Linked DNA regions of Pelodiscus sinensis. The protein of the gene in region 2 purifies or fractionates together with the protein of the main gene of each other region. This does not show direct contact. Links are inferred from orthologs where the notes say so. Each region holds a gene or a part of one and is shown on either strand. Other genes may lie near its edges. The genes, in order: DBN1, TWF1 and CAPZB.

Region 1 (8,230 bases), on a different chromosome or scaffold from region 2:
GGGCCCGGGGCTCCCCGCCCGCCTCCCGGGGCCCGGGGCTCCCCGCCCGCCTCCCGGGGCCCGGGACTCCCCGCCCGCCTCCCGGGGCCCGGGGCTCCCCGCCCGCCTCCCGGGGCCCGGGGCTCCCCGCCCGCCTCCCGGGGCCCGGGGCTCCCCGCCCGCCTCCCGGGGCCCGGGGCTCCCCACCCGCCTCCCGGGGCCCGGGGCTCCCCGCCCGCCTCCCGGGGCCCGGGGCTCCCCGCCCGCCTCCCGGGGCCCGGGGCTCCCCGCCCGCCTCCCGGGGCCCGGGGCTCCCCGCCCGCCTCCTGGGGCCCTGCTTATTGCTGGCCAGGGGCCGCCCGCACTGACCTGGAAGAACTCGGCGACCTTGGCCACGTGGCTGGCGCAGGCACACTTGCGGGCATCGGCCACGTCCTCCCCAACCTGCCACGGCACGGAGTGAGTGAGGCGGGCCCCAGGTCTGGCGCAGGCAGGAGTGGAGATGTGGGGGGCCCCGACAGCTCCTCTCCCCGTTGCCACGCCCAGGGCAGCTCGGCCAATGGCAAGGCAGAGCTGCGGGACCGTCACTCCCGGCAGGGCGGGCACGTGGCTCCGCCTGGATCCCAGGGGCCCAGTGAGGCTCCAGGGCGCTGGGGCAGCCCTACCCCCCTGGCCACCCCAGCGGGGCCCGGTGCAGGGACACAGAGCTCCACTAGGTGGGGTCCCTGGAAAAGCTCTGGGGCCCCGAACACCACAGGCCCCCCCAAGCTCCGGCAGGCCCATCGCACCCCCCAGGCGTGTGCCGAGTCTCCCCCGCCAGCCGGGGGCGCTGCGCGGGGCTCAGACACGCACTGCCAAGTGGCTGGAGGGGCTAGAACCGCCCCACCCCCACTCGCCCCCTCCTGCGCACAGACTAGTGTCAGGCCAGGAACACCCCCCCCAGCATGTAGGGCAGGCACCCCACTCCTGCAGAACGGCCCGGCTCCACCCCTCGCTGCATCCCACCTGTGGGGCTGCAAACAGGCCAAAAGGGGGTGTCCCGGCCTGCACCCCCGCATGGAGCCCTCTGCCCCACTCACCCAGTTGACCAGGACGTATTTGGGCAGGGCTGCCTGGGGCTCCTTCACGCTGCAGAAGCCATACATCACCTTCTGGTTCTCAAAGTGGCCAGAGAGCTCCTGCAAGCCGCCTCCTGCCGGGCGGGGAGGAATCACAGGCGCTCAGTGTGTCCCCCCACGGGCGAGGAGGAATCACAGGCGCTCAGTGTGTCCCCCCACGGGCGGGGAGGAATCACAGGCGCTCAGTGTGTCCCCCCACGGGCGGGGAGGAATCACAGGCGCTCAGTGTGTCCCCCCACGGGCGGGGAGGAATCACAGGCGCTCAGTCTGTCCCCCCACGGGCGGGGAGGAATCACAGGCGCTCAGTCTGTCCCCCCACGGGCGGGGAGGAATCACAGGCGCTCAGTGTGTCCCCCCACGGGCGGGGAGGAATCACAGGCGCTCAGTGTGTCCCCCCACGGGCGGGGAGGAATCACAGGCGCTCAGTGTGTCCCCCCACGGGCGGGGAGGAATCACAGGCGCTCAGTGTGTCCCCCCACGGGCGAGGAATCACAGGCGCTCAGTGTGTCCCCCCACGGGCGGGGAGGAATCACAGGCGCTCGGTCTGTCCCCCCACGGGCGGGGAGGAATCACAGGCGCTCGGTCTGTCCCCCCACGGGCGGGGAGGAATCACAGGCGCTCGGTCTGTCCCCCCACGGGCGGGGAGGAATCACAGGCGCTCGGTCTGTCCCCCCACGGGCGGGGAGGAATCACAGGCGCTCGGTCTGTCCCCCCACGGGCGGGGAGGAATCACAGGCGCTCGGTGTGTCCCCCCACGGGCGGGGAGGAATCACAGGCGCTCGGTGTGTCCCCCCACGGGCGGGGAGGAATCACAGGCGCTCGGTCTGTCCCCCCACGGGCAGGGAGGAATCACAGGCGCTCGGTCTGTCCCCCCACGGGCGGGGAGGAATCACAGGCGCTCGGTGTGTCCCCCCACGGGCAGGGAGGAATCACAGGCGCTCGGTGTGTCCCCCCACGGGCAGGGAGGAATCACAGGCGCTCGGTGTGTCCCCCCACGGGCAGGGAGGAATCACAGGCGCTCGGTCTGTCCCCCCACGGGCAGGGAGGAATCACAGGCGCTCAGTGTGTCCCCCCACGGGCGGGGAGGAATCACAGGCGCTCAGTGTGTCCCCCCACGGGCGGGGAGGAATCACAGGCGCTCAGTGTGTCCCCCCACGGGCGGGGAGGAATCACAGGCGCTCGGTCTGTCCCCCCACGGGCGGGGAGGAATCACAGGCGCTCGGTCTGTCCCCCCACGGGCGGGGAGGAATCACAGGCGCTCGGTCTGTCCCCCCACGGGCGGGGAGGAATCACAGGCGCTCGGTCTGTCCCCCCACGGGCGGGGAGGAATCACAGGCGCTCGGTCTGTCCCCCCACGGGCGGGGAGGAATCACAGGCGCTCGGTGTGTCCCCCCACGGGCGGGGAGGAATCACAGGCGCTCGGTGTGTCCCCCCACGGGCAGGGAGGAATCACAGGCGCTCGGTCTGTCCCCCCACGGGCGGGGAGGAATCACAGGCGCTCGGTGTGTCCCCCCATGGGCAGGGAGGAATCACAGGCGCTCGGTGTGTCCCCCCACGGGCAGGGAGGAATCACAGGCGCTCAGTGTGTCCCCCCACGGGCAGGGAGGAATCACAGGCGCTCGGTCTGTCCCCCCACAGGCGGGGAGGAATCACAGGCGCTCGGTGTGTCCCCCCACGGGCAGGGAGGAATCACAGGCGCTCGGTGTGTCCCCCCACAGGCAGGGAGGAATCACAGGCGCTCGGTGTGTCCCCCCACGGGCGGGGAGGAATCACAGGCGCTCGGTGTGTCCCCCCACGGGTGGGGAGGAATCACAGGCGCTCAGTGTGTCCCCCCACGGGCGGGGAGGAATCACAGGCGCTCAGTCTGTCCCCCCACGGGCGGGGAGGAATCACAGGCGCTCAGTGTGTCCCCCCACAGGCAGGGAGGAATCACAGGCGCTCGGTGTGTCCCCCCACGGGCGGGGAGGAATCACAGGCACTCGGTGTGTCCCCCCACGGGCAGGGAGGAATCACAGGCGCTCAGTGTGTCCCCCCACGGGCAGGGAGGAATCACAGGCGCTCAGTGTGTCCCCCTACGGGCGGGGAGGAATCACAGGCACTCGGTGTGTCCCCCCACGGGCGGGGAGGAATCACAGGCACTCGGTGTGTCCCCCCACGGGCGGGGAGGAATCACAGGCGCTCAGTGTGTCCCCCTACGGGCGGGGAGGAATCACAGGCACTCGGTGTGTCCCCCCACGGGCGGGGAGGAATCACAGGCGCTCAGTGTGTCCCCCTACGGGCGGGGAGGAATCACAGGCGCTCGGTCTGTCCCCCCATGGGTGGGGAAGTATCCACAGGCTGGCTGTCCTCCCCCCAGGTGGCAAGTGCTTTGGGGAGGGGTGTTTAGGCTCTCTAGCCCCCCTTGGCAGGAGGCCCAGGGCAGGGGACCCCTTACCTCCCGACGCAGCCAGCTTCAGGTCATCAGAGTCATCCTCGTAGGTGTACAGAGCCCTGCGGGAGGAGAGCCTGTGAGGGGCACAGCAGCGCTCCACTGCAGCCTGCACCCCACCAGCAGGGGGCGGCCTCGCGCCATGCACAGTGCACCTGCTGCAGGAGCTGGGGTGGGCCGGACCCCCCCATAGCAAGGGGGGCCAGCAGGGGGCGGGCGGCTGGACTCTACACTGGGCACTCCAGCTACAATGCGAAGTCCCTCCCTGGGGCAGTGGTGTGTGGGCCTGGGGGCTGTCAGCGTGGGCCTCTCCTCTCCCTCCACAGCGGGGCCAGCGGGAGCAGGGCGGCGCCCGAGGCCCAGGGAGAAACCCCCCCTGGCTGCGCCCAGTGAAAGGCGACGGAATCCCAGTGCCTGGCGCCCACTGGGTGAGCAGGGAGCCTGGGGGAGGGCGGCAGGGACTGGCAGCGGGAGGGGGAAATGGGTCCCAGCCCCCCGCCCTAGCTGCCAAGCAGGCCCTTTTCGCCAGCCCCCCAGGCAGCGTGCTGGCAGCTCCCCTACGAGCTGGGGGGGACCAGGCTTCACCCCTCTGGGGCCAGTCAGCAGCTGTCAGGCGGGCCCGTGGGCCTGGGGCAGCAGCCCCCCCCAGGCCGGAGCTGCTCACGTTCCCGGCTGCGTGAGCCCCTGGCAGGGAGCAGCAGCAAATCAATGAGCCATCAGGGTGCGATGGGGACTCCATGGAGACGGTTCCTTGGATACCGGCCCCTCTCCAGGCTGGGCTTGGCACGGCCCCCGCCCCCTGCCCCCCGTGTGTCCCCTGCCCCCCACAGCGGCCCCTCCTCAAAGGTGGGGGTGGGCAGCCGGCAGAGTCGGTCCAGGGCTGGTGGGCGAAGGCAGGGAAATTTCAGCTTATCTAGGCAACCAGCATCCTGTCTCCATGGCAACCACCCAGCTCTCCAGCTGGGATGGAACTCACAAGAGGAGGTGATTAGTGGGGAAGTGGGGGGGGGGGGGCGCTGGTCTCTGGCAGGGGCACTAGCTGCAGCACATCCCCCCTGTGCCCCCCCTGTGCCCCCCCCCCCCGACACAGACCACTCCCCACTGCGGACTGCCCCACCCGGGCCTCCCCCCCACCCCCAGGCTATCTGCATTTCCCCATCCCAGGCCCCGAGGGCTTGCTGCTTGGTGAAGCCGGGGCATTTGCTGACTCACCACATTCCCAGTCTGATGAGCTGTGAGCCCTCCGCCCCCCAGCCTGCCCTGTCCCATGTGGGGCGGAGGGCCGCATGGGTGCAGTGGCAGGAGGGGGAATCATGCGCCCTGGCCCCAGGCAGTCTCCAGCAGGCGTCTGTCACCCCTCCCTGGGGGCCCCAAGGAAGGACTGCCACATCCCGCCCCCTCCCACCCTGCCCCTTGCTCTGCCTGGCTCCCAGCCCCCTTTCACACACCAAACCCAAAGCCAGACATGCTCCCCTTCCCACAGGAGACTGGCCCCCCCGCCGTGAGACACAGAGAAGGACACCAGGGAGGCGAGTGCTAACCCGCTGGATCGCAGCCCAGGGCACCGCTGCAACTCACCAGAACAGAGGGGAGTCCCGAAGGGCAGCGCCCCAAGACACCGTCCTGCTCAGCAGTGGGGAGCCCCCGGGGACCTGCGCCCCACAGGCCCCAGTGGAGCGGGTCCAGCCTGGACCTGCACAGACCCCAGCACCGGGCGCTGCCCATCTCCCGGCAATGCCCCGAGGCTCTGCCAGTGCCAGGCAGCACCCTGTGCAGGGAACAAGCCCTCATTTCCCCACCCCCACCCCAGCCCCCCCAGTGCACAGGGCAGACTGGGGCTAGAGATGCCCATGGGAAGCGTGAGGGCCCTGCCGGGGGGCAGGCTGAGGCTGCAGGTGCCCACGGGAAGCGTGAGGGCCCTGCCGGGGGGCAGGCTGGGGCTGCAGGTGCCCAGGGGAAGCGTGAGGGCCCTGCCGGGGGGGCAGGCTGGGGCTGCAGGTGCCCACGGGAAGCGTGAGGGCCCTGCCGGGGGGCAGGCTGGGGCTGCAGGTGCCCACGGGAAGCGTGAGGGCCCTGCCGGGGGGCAGGCTGGGGCTGCAGGTGCCCACGGGAAGCGTGAGGGCCCTGCCGGGGGGCAGGCTGGGGCTGCAGGTGCCCAGGGGAAGCGTGAGGGCCCTGCCGGGGGGGCAGGCTGGGGCTGCAGGTGCCCACGGGAAGCGTGAGGGCCCTGCCGGGGGGCAGGCTGGGGCTGCAGGTGCCCAGGGGAAGCGTGAGGGCCCTGCCGGGGGGGCAGGCTGGGGCTGCAGGTGCCCACGGGAAGCGTGAGGGCCCTGCCGTGGGGCAGGCTGGGGCTGCAGGTGCCCACGGGAAGCGTGAGGGCCCTGCCGGGGGGCAGGCTGGGGCTGCAGGTGCCCACGGGAAGCGTGAGGGCCCTGCCGTGGGGCAGGCTGGGGCTGCAGGTGCCCACGGGAAGCGTGAGGGCCCTGCCGGGGGGCAGGCTGGGGCTGCAGGTGCCCACGGGAAGCGTGAGGGCCCTGCCGGGGGGCAGGCTGGGGCTGCAGGTGCCCAGGGGAAGCGTGAGGGCCCTGCCGGGGGGCAGGCTGGGGCTAGAGATGCCCATGGGAAGCGTGAGGGCCCTGCCGGGGGGCAGGCTGGGGCTGCAGGTGCCCACGGGAAGCGTGAGGGCCCTGCCGGGGGGCAGGCTGGGGCTAGAGATGCCCACGGGAAGCGTGAGGGCCCTGACGTGGGGCAGGCTGGGGCTGCAGGTGCCCAGGGGAAGCGTGAGGGCCCTGCCGGGGGGCAGGCTGGGGCTAGAGATGCCCACGGGAAGCGTGAGGGCCCTGCCGGGGGGCAGGCTGGGGCTGCAGGTGCCCACGGGAAGCGTGAGGGCCCTGCCGGGGGGCAGGCTGGGGCTAGAGATGCCCATGGGAAGCGTGAGGGCCCTGCCGGGGGGCAGGCTGGGGCTGCAGGTGCCCACGGGAAGCGTGAGGGCCCTGCCGGGGGGCAGGCTGGGGCTAGAGATGCCCACGGGAAGCGTGAGGGCCCTGCCGGGGGGCAGGCTGGGGCTAGAGATGCCCATGGGAAGCGTGAGGGCCCTGCCGGGGGGCAGGCTGGGGCTAGAGATGCCCACGGGAAGCGTGAGGGCCCTGCCGTGGGGCAGGCTGGGGCTGCAGGTGCCCATGGGAAGCGTGAGGGCCCTGCCGTGGGGCAGGCTGGGGCTGCAGGTGCCCACGGGAAGCGTGAGGGCCCTGCCGGGGGGCAGGCTGGGGCTAGAGATGCCCACGGGAAGCGTGAGGGCCCTGCCGGGGGGCAGGCTGGGGCTGCAGGTGCCCACGGGAAGCGTGAGGGCCCTGCCGGGGGGCAGGCTGGGGCTGCAGGTGCCCACGGGAAGCGTGAGGGCCCTGCCGGGGGGCAGGCTGGGGCTAGAGATGCCCACGGGAAGCGTGAGGGCCCTGCCGTGGGGCAGGCTGGGGCTGCAGGTGCCCACGGGAAGCGTGAGGGCCCTGCCGTGGGGCAGGCTGGGGCTGCAGGTGCCCACGGGAAGCGTGAGGGCCCTGCCGGGGGGCAGGCTGGGGCTGCAGGTGCCCACGGGAAGCGTGAGGGCCCTGCCGGGGGGCAGGCTGGGGCTGCAGGTGCCCACGGGAAGCGTGAGGGCCCTGCCGGGGGGCAGGCTGGGGCTGCAGGTGCCCAGGGGAAGCGTGAGGGCCCTGCCGGGGGGCAGGCTGGGGCTGCAGGTGCCCACGGGAAGCGTGAGGGCCCTGCCGGGGGGCAGGCTGGGGCTGCAGGTGCCCACGGGAAGCGTGAGGGCCCTGCCGGGGGGCAGGCTGGGGCTAGAGATGCCCACGGGAAGCGTGAGGGCCCTGCCGGGGGGCAGGCTGGGGCTGCAGGTGCCCACGGGAAGCGTGAGGGCCCTGCCGGGGGGCAGGCTGGGGCTGCAGGTGCCCACGGGAAGCGTGAGGGCCCTGCCGGGGGGCAGGCTGGGGCTGCAGGTGCCCACGGGAAGCGTGAGGGCCCTGCCGGGGGGCAGGCTGGGGCTGCAGGTGCCCACGGGAAGCGTGAGGGCCCTGCCGTGGGGCAGGCTGGGGCTGCAGGTGCCCACGGGAAGCGTGAGGGCCCTGCCGTGGGGCAGGCTGGGGCTGCAGGTGCCCACGGGAAGCGTGAGGGCCCTGCCGGGGGGCAGGCTGGGGCTGCAGGTGCCCACGGGAAGCGTGAGGGCCCTGCCGGGGGGCAGGCTGGGGCTGCAGGTGCCCACGGGAAGCGTGAGGGCCCTGCCGGGGGGCAGGCTGGGGCTGCAGGTGCCCACGGGAAGCGTGAGGGCCCTGCCGTGGGGCAGGCTGGGGCTGCAGGTGCCCACGGGAAGCGTGAGGGCCCTGCCGTGGGGCAGGCTGGGGCTGCAGGTGCCCACGGGAAGCGTGAGGGCCCTGCCGGGGGGCAGGCTGGGGCTGCAGGTGCCCACGGGAAGCGTGAGGGCCCTGCCGTGGGGCAGGCTGGGGCTGCACTGCGGGAGGAGGAGCGGTGCTGCGGGCAGAAAACGGACACACCTGGTCTGGGGCATGGTGGGGGCCTGTGCAGGACGGAGGGATATGGGGCCAGGCCAGTGCCTGGTGCCCCAGCCCCACTGCGGGAGCCCCCTCCTCACCCAGGGCGCACAAGACCGACGCCACAGGGATGCTCAGGGGCCGGCCCAGCCTGGCACACTCACAAG
Region 2 (7,832 bases):
GTCTTAGCAACTCTATTGAATATATTTGAATTTAAGTGAATTTAGTTATAAGACTTACTACAGAACTGTGCATGTTGGTTTCCCAAGTAAACCCACGATATATACCGTAGTGACAGCAAAATAAAAGTCTATCAAACAGAAAAAAACCCATAAAGTCTTCATTTAGTCACATGCCCACATCAAACAGAGAGGTACATATGCTGTGTCTTACTATACTATCATCCATGTTCATGTATAAATGCTTCTGTTAATTTTCATCAGTGGTTGAGATTATCTTCTACTCTTCAAATTTTTGGTACAGGGAGCCTTTATTTCTTCCCATTATCAACCCAACACACAACTAATTAGACTAATTTCTTCCCCTTCCCCAAGGACTAACATCAGCTCTATATAATATGCTACCAAGTTTTCTTTGTCTTTCCCCTTTCCAGAAATTCTCTTTCCCCTCAAAGAAAGATACATTCACTCATCTTCCTAAGAATTGTTTTTCCCCTCCCCTAAAAATGTTATCTGCTGCTTCTTTTCCAGGATTAAACCTATGCACCAAAATGATAGCAAAACATGTAACTAGTTTTGTACTGGCGTCTAAACTGTGCATTTTCTTGAAATTTCTCACCACTGCACTATCAGTAGTACATTTGTACCGCTTGAAGTAATAAAAGGAGACAAGACCTGAATGCACAGCAGCATTTTTGCCACCAGGTCATTTATACTTTTTCTAATTAGGGTTAATAGCTTTTTAAGGCCCAAAAGGACTATTATATGATCATCTAGTCTGATCTACATAACACAGGGTCACAGAATTCCAGTAAGTGTTTCCTGCAGCTAGACTAGAAATTTATGGTTTAACTGGGGGATATCTTTTAGGAATAGGATAGTGATAAAAAGAGAGTTGAGAAATATGGTTAGTGGTATGTAAAGTAAGATTTTGTATTGACCAAAGTTGCAATACAACAACCTCAAATGTTGTGAGGTCATGATGAAATGTGACTGTGTCCCATGCAGACCAAAATCAGATAGCAGGCAGATTAAGATTGATGCCTGTATCAAAGATATGAATTTGATCTCATTAAGTTTTCCTATCCCATGTTCCAGCATGGAATTAAATAAAAGCAACATCAAAACTAGCTTGTATTTTTTTTAAAGCAGAAAACAAAATTCCTCAAAACGAGAGAGAGTCAAATACTCTGACCATCTCATTAATGCACACTGGATACAGTAAGTAACTGCAAAATAGGTTTTAAAGTAATACATCCAGTTAATATAGTATAAGCCACAACCACACACTCAAATTTACTCCAAAATGGAGCAAATAATAGATTTATATGGGGTACAAGGAAGGAGCAGAGAAGCTATAATTCCCCATCTCTTCTAAATCATCAGATTACACCTAAAACATGTAATCATTTCCCAGCCATCTCAAACACCTGTAAGGGAGAGCCTAGATTTATCTGGTCCTACTCAGTGCAAAGGGCTAGACATGACCACTTCTCAGGATGCTTCCAACCTTGCCTTTCTATTCTCCTCCTTCCAGCTATATGGTACAATCATTTACAAAATTGTTGTGCCCTACTGTTCTTCACCTTGTCCCACAAAAATACTGCTAATAAATCATAGCTGGATGCTCTAGAGCAGCACAGGGTAACAGAAGATCCAAGGGCCACAGTCAGGAACTAGGTGGCTTGTTAACACAGACAGGAAAGGGGGAGCTTGCTCTAGTTTCTAACTCAGAAAGGAAGAGGCAGAAGAAGGGGGCAATTTCATGGTTTGGAGAAGGAAGGGAAGACCAGGCAGTTCAATGCCCCAAGAGAGCAGGGGCAGTTAAAAAGTCCTAGGCTATGTCTACACTACAAGGTTTTTGTGCAAAAACCAGCCGTTTTTCATGCAAACACCAGCAGAGCATCCACACTTCAAATGCGTTTTTACGCAAGAAAATCAACAGAACAGAGGGCTTTTGCTGGTAGAGTTATTCTTCTACCCATGAGGAATAACTCCTTTTTGCGCTACACCTTTTGTGCAAAAAAGGCATGTGTGGACATTCCGGAGGGGTTTTTGTGCAAGAAACCCCTATCAGAAAAAGCACAGGTCAATGGCAATCAGAGCTTTCTTGCGCAAGAGTGTCCATGCAGTGTGGACGCTCTCTTGCGCAAAAGCACATCACTTTTGCGATGCACTCTGAGGTCTGGACACCTTTTGTGCAAGCAGTTTTTGTGCAAGAACTCTTCAGCAAAAGGCTTCTTGCACAAAAGCTCTGCAGTGTAGACAAAGCCCTAGAGTGGGATGAGGCTTAGCTTGAAAAGAGGAAGGAGCAGTGTAGAAGCTGGGGAGACGAACAATGTGCGGTTCCATAGAGCGGGTGTGTATAGGCTGGGGTAGAGGGGAAGGGAGGAACTGTGGGGAGGAGAGGAAGGGCTACTGGGGAGCCTGGGCCCAGCAGGGGTTGAGGTGGTGAAAGGGGCACCAGGAACACAGGAAGGGACGCTCAAGAGCCCAGGGCAGTGTAAGGAGTGGTGGGCACCAGGGGACGGTGCAGTGGCGGGGGAAAGGGGACACGGGAGAGCCCCAGGACTGGTGGGCACCAGGGAAGCCCTAGGGAGCGGCGCAGGGACTGAAGAGATGGGGCATTAGGGAGCCCTAGCGGCGGTGCAGGCGCTGGGGGAGACGGGACCCGGGGCGCCCCGCGGGCGGGCAGGAACCGCGGAAGAGGCGCGGGGGAGCCCCGGGCCGGTACCTTGGATGCCGGTTTGGTGGGACATGTTGCGATGGCGCCGGGGCTGTGTCCGTCCGTCTGTCCGCGTCTCCGCCAGCAACCGGCGGGCTGGGCGGGAGGGTCAGGCTGGCCCGGGACACGCACGTGACGCGCCCTCGCCACTCAGCGGCCGGGAGCTCACCGGCTCCTTCCGGGCGGGCCCGGCGCCGCGAGCCGGTTCCGGGGGGTCCGGTTCCCGCCCAGGGCCGCCCGCCCCGCCCCCCTCGACCCGAGCGGGCGGGCCAGAGCGAAGCGGCGTTTTGCCCGGGATTGGGGCGCGCTGAGCGCGCGGGGGGGTGTCTGGCCCCGGCCCGCAGGCCATAGCTCAGCTGCTGCGACGCTAGGGAGCCCGCCAGGCCTCGCGGGGACCGCTGGGGGCTGCCGTGCGGAGTTCAGTGCCCCCGAGGCGGATAATGCCCAAGGACGCACCGCAGCCCCTCTCGGGCACTGCCTTTGCCTTGCCATGGAGGTGACCGCCGCGCACATCAACGGAAGGGCTTTTCGTTAAATGACTCACACGGATTGGTTAAAACCTCGCTCCTTGAGCCCGCTTGTCTGCTGAGCCTGACATTTTGCCAAGGGTCTCCATTGGCAGCAGCAGCAGACCACAGCACAGGTGCAATTTAAGGGGCGGTAGAGATCTAACGAGAGAGTTAGAGGACGGAACCAAGTCAAGTCATAAAATGGAAAACGCTTCTCGACTTTCTGATAGTTGTGCTTAGTAATTGCAGTGATAGGTACATTGAATATGCTTGGGTAGATTGGATTCAGATATGCCACAGAGTTAATTAGTTGCCAAAGTATTTGATGAAAACACCAGATATGATCTCATGTTTTGGCTGTCTTCCGCAGCAGTATCAGTTACAGGGCAAAGGTTTCCCTAAAGCTATTCTTTCTGTTATGGCACTACTTTTTGTCCTCCTGGCATGCATATGCCTATGGTATGGAAAAACTGTTGTATTTCATTATTGCAATTTGGATGATAATTTACCAGATGACATACATCTCTGATTCCTATTTGAAAGTTTTATGCCATGGGTTAGTTTAATCAGCAGTTTCTGGGAGGATACTGCCAGGTATGGAGGGCAGAAAACAGTCAATTGACTGTTAACTCACATAAAATTACATTAAAATCTCAAATGTAATGTTGCATTAATTATACAGGTTCACAGCTTCAGGACCTTGCTTAGACCTTGATCCTGCAAAGACTTACTAACTGCTTAACTTTATGCAGTGAGACTATTTGTGGTGTTTAATTGAGCACTCACTTACGTCTTTCCAGGATAGGGGTGTTAATTTTTGTTGGTCTTCTTCATCAAGTGAGCTATTTCTGAGTAAGGACGTATTTGAATGAACTTTAACTAGGGGTAACCCTCAGGAAAATGCCTTTCAGAGTGTAACTGAACTGTAAAAGTGAGGTAAAAAACACTAAGTTCTCTCTCCTTATCTATTTCTCTCTTGTGACCTAAGAAGTTAAAAAAGAAGGAAGCATTGGGAGTAGATCTTTACCTAAGAATTTGGTAAGTAATGTTACAAGAAACTTTTTGATAAGAACTTCACCTTAAATCAGTGTTCATCAAAGTGGTCCACAAAATCTCTTGGAGAACCCTGCTAACTGACCGCTCCAGTTTGTTTACTTACCAGTGCCACGGCCATGGAGTCTTATGGCTCCTATTGGCTCTGTTTTGCCATTTGCAGCCAAAGGGGAGCCATGGAAAGTGGCATGGGCTGGGCCGCTGTTTCTCGTGATTCCCCGTGACTGCAAACTGTGAAACAGAGCCAATAGGAGCTACAAGGCTCTGTGGGTGTGGTGCTGGTATGTAAACAGATAGGAGCGGCTACTTAGCAACTTCTCAAAGTGGTTTCAGGGACCACTTTGAGAAACACTGCCTTAAATCAAGGCTAGTTTATTAAGGCCTTGTCTACTTACTGCTGTGGGGATCAATCTCCCAGAGATCGATTAAGCAGGTCTAGTGAAGACCAGGGATCTCACTTTGTCTGACTTACTAAGGAGAGTCTGACTTACCTGAAGAGTGAGGAAAGGGTTAAGAAACTGGAAATGCACCTAGGGAGGGGGTTCAGGCAGTCAGCCAATAAAAATGTGGATAGGAATTTCAAACTGTGTGATGGGGGATTTTCTTTTTTCTTTGTTTGAGATCAGGGCAGTTTCTCCCAGGTATTGAGGGAGATGGGAGACAGGTTCTCCAAGAACGGACTTCTTGAAAAGTGTAATTAGGGTTTATTGATTTCCTTGTTTGGGGGTTTGGAAATCATGTCTGAGCTGGCTAATTGTTTTTCTCTTTTGTAACTAAGGATTACAGCCCAGGGACTTTCCCTGAGTCTGTCACTTCATGGCTATTTAACACCTAGTCACCTACTATGCTTGCAAGGATAGTTTTGTGTTGATAATAGAGTTTTCCTTTTTGATTTGATTAACTGGTATTGGTTGATTGTTGTGTCTTTAAGTTCATGAGCCTAGTTGCAGGGGCAGACTCCATTGTTCTCAGCAGATTCCTTCTGTTTGTTTTCCTAACTCCAAGCAAAAGGGAGGTTGGAGGCAGAGGGGAGAACTGCTTTAGGAAGGGGATTCTCAAGTGATCTCTTCCCTGGAAAAGGGTTTATTTTATATTTTCTTTTAGTCACTTGGGTGGTGGCAGCGAGTGAATCAGTCTTTGGCTTTATTTGGATCTCAAGGGGACTGAGATCGAACAAACTTGTCTCTGGGAGTCACAGAGATAGGTTTTGCAGAGTTTATTCTCTTAGCTGGCCCCCATCTCTACATTCGATGTGTCAAGTTGGGGAATTGAGTCATGACATGCTTCCATCAACTTCAGCGCTACGCCAGAATGAGAGAGTCAACAAGACTGTTTTCCTTCGATCCCTCACAGTGAGGATTCGGGATGTAATAGTGTTAGGCCCTAGAGAATTGGGCCCAGAGCAGTTATGTTAAGACAAATCAAGGAAAGAGGTTAACAAAGGTTTCTGAGTAGTCCCTGAGCAGAACTAGAGACATGGTTCAAGCAAGGAGGCGCTCCCTACATACTTGCTTGAGTTGCAGAAGTAAAATAAGTAAAAGGCTGCATTCCTATACCGGTTGTAATGGGAACAGCTAGTTTGAGAACTGATAAAGTAACTCCCTGTTTCTGTTCTCACCCTGATCTTAACGAACTGTCTCTGCCCTCTGTTGTTTTAACTCCCTGTCTCTTTGTTGTTTGGTACTTGCCTTCTGGGCTGATAAGAAAGCTGTTGACGTATTATGAATTGCTTAAGGCCATGAAGTATACACATTAACACTAGAAGCTTCTAACTAATTAAGGGGGGGCTAAGATGCTTAGGCAAATGTTTTATGATGCGACGGAACTGTCTATATAATCTTACTTGTTACTGAAATCGTGGCTGGTTCACTTGGGAGACGGGCCGCTCTCTATTGTAGTGCGCACTATTCAATAAAGAGCTCGTGATTGGATCTTGCTGGTGTTGCCTGTCTCTTTGCGGTCAGACAACGAACGGAGGCCGTCCGGGTTAAAGTCCCCGACAATAGGATAGTTTATTAGTCAATTAACCGATCAGCAAAAGCTTATAGGTTAATGCTATCCCTTCAGTGGCTCTGCATTTCAAGTGTATTAGGAGCCAGGCTACTCAGCCTGGCTAAATTCTGGCTTGTGCTGGCCCCACTCCTAGGGAGCCCTCTGCCACCCTGTACTGCTGCATCTGTATCAGTGCAGGGTAGCAGGCAGCCAGTCAACGAGGGGAGCTGGTTTTTAAACTGGCTCCCTTCACGGACCAGCTCCCACCTGGCACCCCACACTGCTGCCTGTGATGGAGATGCAGCAGCATGGGATGGCAGGGTACTCCCCAGGAGTGGGGCTGGCATCCTCATGGTAGAATAGTCGACTAACTAATAAGAATTCATAAGGTTAATTGACTATTCAATTAACCGATATTTAACATCCCTAATAGGGATGCTGCGATAAGTCGAACTAAGATATGTTGACTCGAGCTATGCTATTCACATAGCTGGAGTTGCGTACATTAGTTCGATATTGGCCTCTAGTATAGACCCGGCCCAAGTTTACAAAGCATTTTATCTTTATTTTTCTTGTAATCGTTTCTGACTTTAATGTCTCATTACTTGTACTCCTTGAAACCTATTCTATGTAGTTAAATAAACTTGTCTTATCTTTTAATTAAAACTAATGCAGTGTTGTGAATTTTTGGGTAGCTTCACATTAGTTAGCAGACAGTTGTAGTTTGATCTTATTGATAAACTAGGCAAATATAACTTAGATAGGGCCACGATAAGGTGGGTGCATAATTGGCTGGATAACTGTAGTCAGAGAGTTGTTGTTAACGGTTCTAAATCCTGCTGGAAAGGGATAATAAGTGGAGTTCCTCAAGGGTCTGTTTTGGGACCCGTACTGTTCAATATCTTCATCAATGATGTAGATATTGGGATAGAGAGTACGCTTATTAAGTTTGCAGATGATACCAAACTGGGTGGGGTTGCGACTTCTTTGGAGGATAGGGACATAATTCAAAATGACCTTAGCAAGTTAGAGAAATGGTCAGAGGTAAACAGGATGAGATTTAATAAAGAGAAATGCAAAGTGCTCCACTTAGGAAGGAACAATCAGTTCCATACATACAAGATGGGAAGCGACTGTCTAGGAAGGAGCATGGCGGAAAGGGATCTAGGGGTCATAGTGGACCACAAGTTGAATATGAGTCAACAGTGTGATGCTGTTGCAAAAAAAAGCAAATATGATTCTAGGTTGTATCAACAGGTGTGTTGTAAACAAAACTCGTGAAGTCGTTCTGCCGCTCTACTCTGCACTAGTTAGGCCTCAGCTGGAGTACTGTGTCCAGTTCTGGGCGCCACATTTCAAGAAAGATGTGGAGAAATTGGAAAGGGTACAGAGAAGAGCGACAAGAATGATTAAAGGTTTAGAGAACATGACCTATGAAGCCAGGCTTCATGAACTGGGCTTGTTTAGTTTGGAAAAAAGAAGATTAAGGGGGGACATGATAGCGGTTTTCAAATATCTAAAAGGGTGTCACAAGGAGGAAGGAGAAAATTTGTTCC
Region 3 (8,359 bases), on a different chromosome or scaffold from region 2:
CTACACCATATGAAGAAATTATGCCTGAATTATCCTGATTTAGCATTCATTCTCTGAAGCACAGTACAGTAAAACAAGCTAAACAAGACCACTTTCTGTACTAGGAGGTCACTGGAATTATGAAAATATATTATTTGCCATACATTTACCTCAGTTTTTAACACTGAAATAGTTTGAAAATCAACTTTTAACCTGATTAAAGGTAAATTTTCAACAAGTTTTAAATTAGTTGGTTACACACTTCATTTGAACACATGCTGTCCAAATTATAAGTCAATATTTCCCAAAGCTCAGGATACAAAGACATAACTTATGATAATAGGCATTCAAAACTATATGATAGGGTTGAAAGAGGGGTACACTTGGTTTGATTGTCTTGCAGGGGCTGGAGATCAGAGTTTAGGAAAGTGTCTTACTGTTGTTTTAGTTCTTATTTAACAACACTGGTTTGGTCACAGCTCTACAAAACAAGGCTTATTCATCAAGTAGCAATGTGCCTACACAAAAGCCTTTTCTAGGGCTGTTAGAATTTTTAGCAGTTACTCAACTATTCTATAGTCCCTGGGGACAGGATGGCAGCCAGTGCAATCCCACCCCACTCCTAGGGAGTACCCCTGCCACCTGCTGCCTCTGTATCAGGGGAAGCAGTGCAGGGAGCCAGTCCATGAGGGGACCAAGTTTAAAAACCAGCTCCCTGTTCAGACCATCTGCCTGCCGCCTTGCGCTGCTGCTTCTGAAACAGAGGCAATGGCACATGGCGGCAGCAGCCCCCGTCTGGGGGGGGGGGAAGGACACACACACAGTCTGTCATCACAGAGCAGCCTCTGACCACAGTGGGCCCAGGCTCACTGCAGACAGAGGCTGCTCTGCAAGATGGGGGGGGGGGGGGGGGGGGAGAGAAGGAGGCAGAAATGTAGAGCTGGGGGGGGAGGCTTTTAAATCAGCTCTCCCCAGCACCTGCTTCCACACACACACACACACACACACCCCTCTGCTGCCTCTGATACAGAAGCAGAAAGGGGGAAGAGGGGGGAGAGAATGCCAGTAGTTAAGATTAAACTTAGGCTTATTGGTTAATTGTATACTTAACTATTCATTTATATCCCTAGCCCTCTCTGAAAAATCTTAAACCACTTAAAATAGCAAACTAGAAATGATTGCCCCAACCTACATCATTGGCCATAGTTCATCTATTAGAATTTCTGAAAAAGCACTGAAGCGCAGGCAATGATTCATAAGACAATATAAAGTGATATTTAACTTTGTTAATTGACTCACTTTTGTTTACCTTTCTTTGAATAAAGCATACATAATAAAGACAGGATGTTTGCGAGTGCAATCAAAATGTATCAACTACTTTCACACATTATCCTTGGAATTTATGTACTCATGCTTTGTATAATTAAATGCTTCCTTGCAAGACTGGATTCCATCCACTAAGGACTTACAATGGGGTCTCAGTCTTAGTTGGAGCCTCTAAAATCTACTGTAATATAAAAAAAATAAATATTTTAACTGTACAAAGGTACAAGAACCTCATTGTCAGCTGCTTAGAAGAAAAATAAAAAGTTAGGCCTTCAGGTACTTGAAAGCATCAGTGAAGATTTTAAATACTGATACTGCATAAAAGTAGTCCCCCAAAAGAGGAATTTTTCTACAATATTTAGACTAGCACATCAATAGCGTCTTCTCAACCAGTCTTCATACAGTTATGAAAAGGAAATGAATATCTTCAGCTATAAGATTCAACTACAGGCAGTCCCCGGGTTACGTACAAGATAAGAACAAACCTACAGTCCCTAAGTTGAATCTGTATGTAAGTCGGAACTGGCGTCCAGATTCAGCCGCTGCTGAAACTGACCGCCAGTTCTGACTTGCATACAGATTCAACTTAAGAACCCCAAGCCTCCCCAAGTCAGCTGCTGCTGAAACTGATCAGCAGCTGATTCCAGGACGCCTGGGGCAGAGCAGCTGGGGTGCTGCTGGGTTGCTCCAGTAGCACCGCTCCTCGCTCCTTGGTGCTACTGGACCAACCCAGCAGCACCCCAGCTGCTCTGCCCCAGGCGTCCTGATTCAGCCACTGCTGAAACTGACCAGCAGCAGCTGAATCAGGACCTGGGGCAGAGCAGCTGGGGTGCTGCCGGGTTGGTCCAGTAGTGCCCAGAGCGGCGCTGCAGGACCAATCGGCAGCGCCCCAGCTGCTTTGCCCCAGGGTCCACAACAAAAGCCTGATCTGCTGGGGGGGGGGCACACTAGCTGCGCCCCCCCCCTCCCCCAGCAGACCAGGGACACGGGGAGCACAGCCACAGCAGCAGCGGGGTGCCGTGCCTCTGAGGCTTTGCTCTGGCAAAGTCTCAGAGGCGCGGGACCCTGCCGCAGCTGCGGCTTCAGTCCCGGTGCCCGTGGTCTGCTGAGGACTGTCTCCAGCAGACCAGGGGCACCGGGAGCAAAGCCGCAGCAGCGGCGGGTTCCCGCGCTTCTGAGGCTTTGCCAGAGCAAAGCCTCAGAAGCGCGGGAACCCGCCGCTGCTGCGGCTTCAGTCCCGGTGCCCCTGGTCTGCTGGAGACAGTCCTCAGCAGACCACGGGCACCGGGAGCAGCTTACGAACGGGGCTCTCTCGCCCCGGAGCTCGCAGGCAGCAATCCGCCACCTCGACCTCCGGGGCGAGAAAGCCCCGTTCGTAAGTCGGGGACTGCCTGTACTCTACCACCACTTTGGGACATCAGTCTTACAATTTGCTGAGTGGAGGGACATCCCTCAGACATGAGCCTGAAGTGGGGCTCTACACAGAAATGAGACTGTCCTGGTAAATCTAACTACTTCATCAGATCTTTGGCTAGAAGTCTTGTGCTTGTTTATAGCGGAAGTATCTAATGGAATCTAGGATAAGTAAAAACTGCCGTCCATTTGAAATAAAAGAAAAGTTTTAAAAATTGCAAGGTAGAGGAAACATGTTATTCCATTCACTGAGCAGCTCTCAAACAAGACTGAGTACACCTCCAGATCCACGTAAGAAAACCAATGCACAAGCATGACATGGTCTTCTATTAGTGCTAAACACAGCTTTCCCTAGAAGCAAGGATAAGCTGATCTTTCAAGATATTTCCAGGTATTAGAGTTATGACACTTCAATCCACTTTATTAAAGAAGTCTACATGTGTTACAAAGTAGCCCAAAACCTTAAAATGACCATTCAAGTTTTATAAATAATAACAATTTAGCCAGAAATTAGAGTTGCCACTATATAATCACAGGTTAGTTTTGAAAGTGACATACATTCTTCGGCACACACACACACACAACACACTTCCATTTCACAGACAGAATTAAAGTAAGAGTCTTGAAAAGCCATAAAGGACTAAACAGTATACATTCACTTGATAATATGATAACATAAATGTATAGTGAATTGTAAACCAAGCTAAATATCTCAAGAAACAGATGCCCTATCTACATCTGCAATCCCTGCATTCAGAAATGAAGATTCACAGCAGTTCACATCTGTTAAGAGCTCCAGTAGCTTGTTTGCCTGTTACAAACAAGATGCAGTCTCACCATTTTAGCTGACATCACCTTAACTTCCTGAATTTCAGGTGAAGGTTTACAGAAGAGAATCATTCACCACCTTGAATGCCCAGTCCCCTGCCCAGCTTCAGCTCAGGGAGCCTTTTCTTCCTCCCCCAAACAACACCATGCAGCTCTGGAGGCACCTGCTAACACATCTGTCTCTCACCACCAAACCACGTTAGCAGAGCACCCCTCCCCGGCCCTTCCGACTCTGCAGGCCTGAAAGCAAACCTCCCTTGCACCCTCCTCCCCCACATCATGCAAGCCCTGGAGCCACCTGCTCTCAGGCCCTCCCCAAGTCACCGTCCCACCACGTCACAACCCTTCCCGCGCTACTTTCCAGCCACGACATGCGACCTCGCTTCCCACCCCCGGCACCGCCTGCCCAGAACTTGCTCGCTCCGCCCGGGAGCAGGAAGCCCAACGGGCCCTGCCCGGCCAGCACACCCATGCCAGGCCAGGCCGCCGGGGAGAAGGAAGGAGCCCGAGCTGCACGGGGAAAGAGGGGACTAGAGCGAGGGGGCCGGGCAGGAAGGGACCATGCAACAAACGGAGCAGGCCCCTTTCCCGGGGGCGCGGGCACAACCGAGCGAGGGTGGAAGGGAGCACCGGGAGCTGGGCCCCAAGGAAGGGGGGGGCAGCTCCGCTCCGGCGGCCCGCAGCTCCAAGCCTCTCTTACCATGATGGCTCCGCTGGGCTGGGCTCTAGCGACAGCGGCAACTTCCGGTCCCGTCCGGTATCTCTCTGAGCCAGGCCGCAGCCCTGCCACTTCCGCCGTGCCCGTTGCCTAGGAGTGCGCATCCGGGTCACTAAGACTCGGCCCCGCCCATCGCCGCTTCTTAACCAATCCGAGCGCGGTTCTCCGGCCATCGCCAAGTATGGAGCGCAGTACGCGTCGTTCGTTCGGGGGACAGGGAGGAACTAGGAGTGGGACAGACCATTTTCTCCTCCGGGGGGGGGGAGGGGGAACCATACCAGGCAGAATGAGAAGGAAGGAATAGGCAAAGCCGAGGGATAGGGCAAGCGAAGGAACATCCCTGCGAGATGAGATGGGGCGAGTGCAACAAACATGGAGGAGAGAGAGCGGAGTGGGGGGAAGACACAGATCAGGAGGGAGCAACCACTTGCAACAGCGTGGGGAGAGACAACGTGCAGGGGGAGGAGCTGTGCAGAGGGAGTGACCAATCAGGGCAAGGAGGAGGAGAGGCCAATGGGGAAGTGAGATTGAGGCCCCACCCAACGGCAAAGGGGTGTGTTGGCTGGGCCTGGCAGAGGCTTGGAAGTTCTGCTGTGTTGCTATTGCCCCTTGGGTTTAAAAAGTGAATCTTGAGGCAGCCAACCGCGCCTCTCACAAGGGCCTGGATCAGGAAGACGTCACTGCATGTGTTTAAACTCGGGGCAGGCTTTTCACAACAGTGCTAGTTGCATTTATAGGTATAAAAGCTGAAAACCAGTGTGCAAAGTCAGCACTCAAAACTTCAGAAATGGAGAATAAAGGTTGCTCATGCAATTAGGATTTGATCCCTGTGTGCATATTTATGTACCATTTTTAATTATGCTAATGTCACATACTGTGTTTCCCAGGACCACTGGCTTACGCAATGCATGGGATCATAGAGGATATTGAGTAATCATTCTTTAGAGTTACCTTTTCCCATCAGAGAGACCAGGCACCATTCATGATAATGGTGTCAGGTCCCACAGGTTGGAAAAGTTGGCACTCTTACTCAGTATTTTGTGTTAGATTTATGTGTGTCCCCCAGCTTTATTTAAGTAACACTATTCAAAACCTGCTCTGAAAACAGAAACATTAATTGTCTATGTGGGCTTTTCTGTGGGGTTTATCACTATAGTACCTGAGCATTTAGCAAACAATTAATTTGCTTCCACAAACCTGTGGGCTGTGTCTAGATTGGCCAGCTTTTCCGGAAAATCAGCCGCTTTTCTGGAAAAAGGTGCCAGCTGTCTAAACTGGCCGCTTGAATTTCCGCAAAAGCACTGACTTCCTACTGTATGAAATCAGTGGTTTTTGCGGAAATACTATGCTGCTCCCATTCGGACAAAAGTCCCTTTTGTGCATAAGGGCCAGTGTAGACAGCTCAGATTTGTTTTCCGCAAAAAAGACCCGATTGCGAAAATGGCGATTGGGGCTTTTTTGTGGAAAAGCGCGTCTAGATTGGCCATGGACACTTTTCCGCAAAAAGTGCTTTTGCAGAAAAGCGTCCGTGCCAATCTAGACGCTCTTTTCCGAAAATGCTTTTAACGGAAAACTTTTCCGTTAAAAGCATTTCCGGAAAATCATGCCTGTCTAGACGTAGCCGTGAAGTAAAGGAGTGGTGTCATTTCCATTATACAGATAGGAAAATGAAACACTAGGATTAAGGCCAGAAATGTCCACTATTTTGGGGAGGGCCCAGTTTGAGGTACTGATGTCCTGATATTTCAGAATACTGAGTATTATAAAGAAATATTTGTGTTCAAAGCTCATCTTCCATCAACTTCAGTTTGTAGCTGCAAGTGCTCAGCATTTCTGCAGTTCCAACCCCATATATATGCAAATATAACTCCACTGAAGCCAGGAGAGTAATGCCAAGGGAGAATCTGGCCCATTGCATGGCAGCACTTTGCTCTATAGCTTTTTTGGAACAAATGTTTGGCCTCTGCTTCACAAGACTTGGAGTGCCTGATTCCGGAGGACCCTCTGTTAATGCTTTTTGGCATATGAATTGCAGACTTGGCACTAGCATAAGCCAAAAACCCTTTTGTTGCTCCATTTACTTTTCCTAGCCTGGAGGTGCATGCTGTGGAACTGGAAATGCTGACGAGAAGTCACAAAATGTTTCCTCGTCTGATGTAATGTCATTGGATCTGGTATGACATTCTCTGCTATGTTGTGTGAAATGCTTCCATTACGATTGTAACAGAAGCTCTATTCTGTGGGGAATTGCTTCACATTTTCCACGGATATAATATCATGCCCATATATCCTTCTGGCTGGATATGATGAGGGAACAGCTCTGATTTTACTTTACCAGGTTAATACAGGCAGTCCCCGGGTTACGTACAAGATAGGGACTGTAGGTTTGTTCTTAAGTTGAATCTGTATGTAAGTCGGAACTGGCATCCAGATTCAGCCGCTGCTGAAACTGACCAGCGGCTGACTACAGGAAGCCCGAGGCAGAGTTGCTCTGCCCCGGGCTTCCTGGAATCAGCCTCTGATCAGTTTCAACAGGCTGAATCTGGACACCAGTTCTTACATACAGATTCAACTTAAGAACCGCAGGCGTCCCCAAGTCATCTGCTGCTGAAACTGATCAGCGGCTGATTCCAGGAAGCCCGGGGCAGAGCAACTCTGCCTCGGGCTTCCTGTAGTCAGCGCTGGTCAGTTTCAGCAGTGGCTGGCTTGAGGACGCCTGGGGCAGAGCAGCTGGGGTGCTTCTGGGTTGCTCCAGTTGCGCCGCTCCTCGGCGCTACTGGACCAATCCACCAGCACCCCAGCTGCTCTGCCCCAGGCGTCCTGATTCAGCGCTGCTGAAACTGACCAGCAGCGGCTGAATCAGGACGCCTGAGGCAGAGCAGCTGGGGTGCTGCCGGGTTGGTCCAGTAGTGCCCAAAGCGGCGCTGCGGGACCAACCGGCAGCGCCCCAGCTGCTCTGCCCCAGGCGTCGGGAGAAAAGTCTGGACTGCTGAGGGGAGGGCGTACTAGCTGCCCCTCCCCAGGAGACCAGGGAGACGCAGGCGGGGGACCGAGACGCACCGCGGTCCCGCCGCCTGGGTCCTCCGCGGCTTTGCTCCACATCTCCCTGGTCTGCTGATCTGGGCTGTCCGCTGGGCCGTCGGATCCGCAGACCAGGGAGATGGGGAGCAAAGCCTCTGAGGATGCCGGCAGCGGGACAGCTGCGGCACCCGAGCTGTCCGCTGCCCCCGTGCTACGCGGCTTTGCTCCCCGTCTCCCTGGTCTGGGGAGACGTGGAGCAAAGCCGCGGAGCACGCGGGCAGCGGACAGCCCAGAGGCGCCATGGCTGTCCCGCTGACGGCGTCCTCAGAGGCTTTGCTTCCCATCTCCCTGGTCTCGTAAGTCGGATTCGCGTAACTCGGGGACTGCCTGTACCATTGTCCATTGCTTGAACCAAAATGCCATTAAATATATTAGATATGTTCCAGTATTTTTCCAAATACATGTATTTGTATTTAATGTAACAAATAGCACAAATTAAGCAGCCTCAAATTTCAGTTTGGGAAATGGATAGGTTTTCAGACAAGTTTTAGTGCACATACAGCTACTAGGTGAACTGGCACCTACAATGTGAAAAGTAGATGACTTTTCATGAAAAATGATCCAAATTCATATTTCATAGCAGTCACCACACATGCAAATTAGATATGTCATTGCACACATTTTGAAATTACCTGACAATCTGATACTACCTTTTTTTCTACGTCAGTCTAATTCCTTTTGATCATCTCTCACTCCATATATTTCTGTGCTGCAATTTTGAAAATAATATTCCTTTTAGCTCCGTGACAGGAGGCCCTGGGAAAATGGAGCGTTACTGGCCTGTAGCATTGGGAAAATGCTGTAATGGATATTACTTGGGGCATTCAAAACTAAACTGGGCAAAATACTATCATATGTACAATAGGAAACAATCTTGCACTCAGAAGGGTTATGGACCTAATACCATTTTACTAGCTCTGTGTTCCACAGACCAGATCCTCAGCTGGTGTACATCTTACTTGAGGAATAAGGGATCTTCCAGAAAAGGGCTTATTTTCCGCAAGATCCCGTCTA

What was found.
Region 1: the proteins of TWF1 (region 2) and DBN1 purify together in Homo sapiens (affinity purification with mass spectrometry; 3 studies listed by BioGRID and IntAct, with this or other methods). This does not show direct contact. The link is inferred for Pelodiscus sinensis from reciprocal best matches to the Homo sapiens genes TWF1 and DBN1.
Region 3: the proteins of TWF1 (region 2) and CAPZB purify together in Homo sapiens (affinity purification with mass spectrometry; 3 studies listed by BioGRID and IntAct, with this or other methods). This does not show direct contact. The link is inferred for Pelodiscus sinensis from reciprocal best matches to the Homo sapiens genes TWF1 and CAPZB.

Annotation. Positions count from the first base shown.
Region 1 is NW_027465882.1:1,141-9,370, reverse strand, and holds the start of DBN1 (drebrin), read right to left. Parts: upstream 3,588-8,230; 5' UTR 3,532-3,587; intron 1,172-3,531; 5' UTR 1,125-1,171; coding exon 1,059-1,124; intron 424-1,058; coding exon 349-423; intron 1-348. UniProt on the Homo sapiens protein: Actin cytoskeleton-organizing protein that plays a role in the formation of cell projections. Required for actin polymerization at immunological synapses (IS) and for the recruitment of the chemokine receptor CXCR4 to IS.
Region 2 is NC_134711.1:54,401,432-54,409,263, forward strand, and holds the start of TWF1 (twinfilin-1), read right to left. Parts: upstream 3,178-7,832; 5' UTR 2,757-3,177; coding exon 2,732-2,756; intron 129-2,731; exon of another isoform or gene 59-128; intron 1-58. UniProt on the Homo sapiens protein: Actin-binding protein involved in motile and morphological processes. Inhibits actin polymerization, likely by sequestering G-actin. By capping the barbed ends of filaments, it also regulates motility.
Region 3 is NC_134733.1:7,658,873-7,667,231, forward strand, and holds the start of CAPZB (F-actin-capping protein subunit beta), read right to left. Parts: upstream 3,690-8,359; 5' UTR 3,619-3,689; coding exon 3,556-3,618; intron 1-3,555. UniProt on the Homo sapiens protein: F-actin-capping proteins bind in a Ca(2+)-independent manner to the fast growing ends of actin filaments (barbed end) thereby blocking the exchange of subunits at these ends.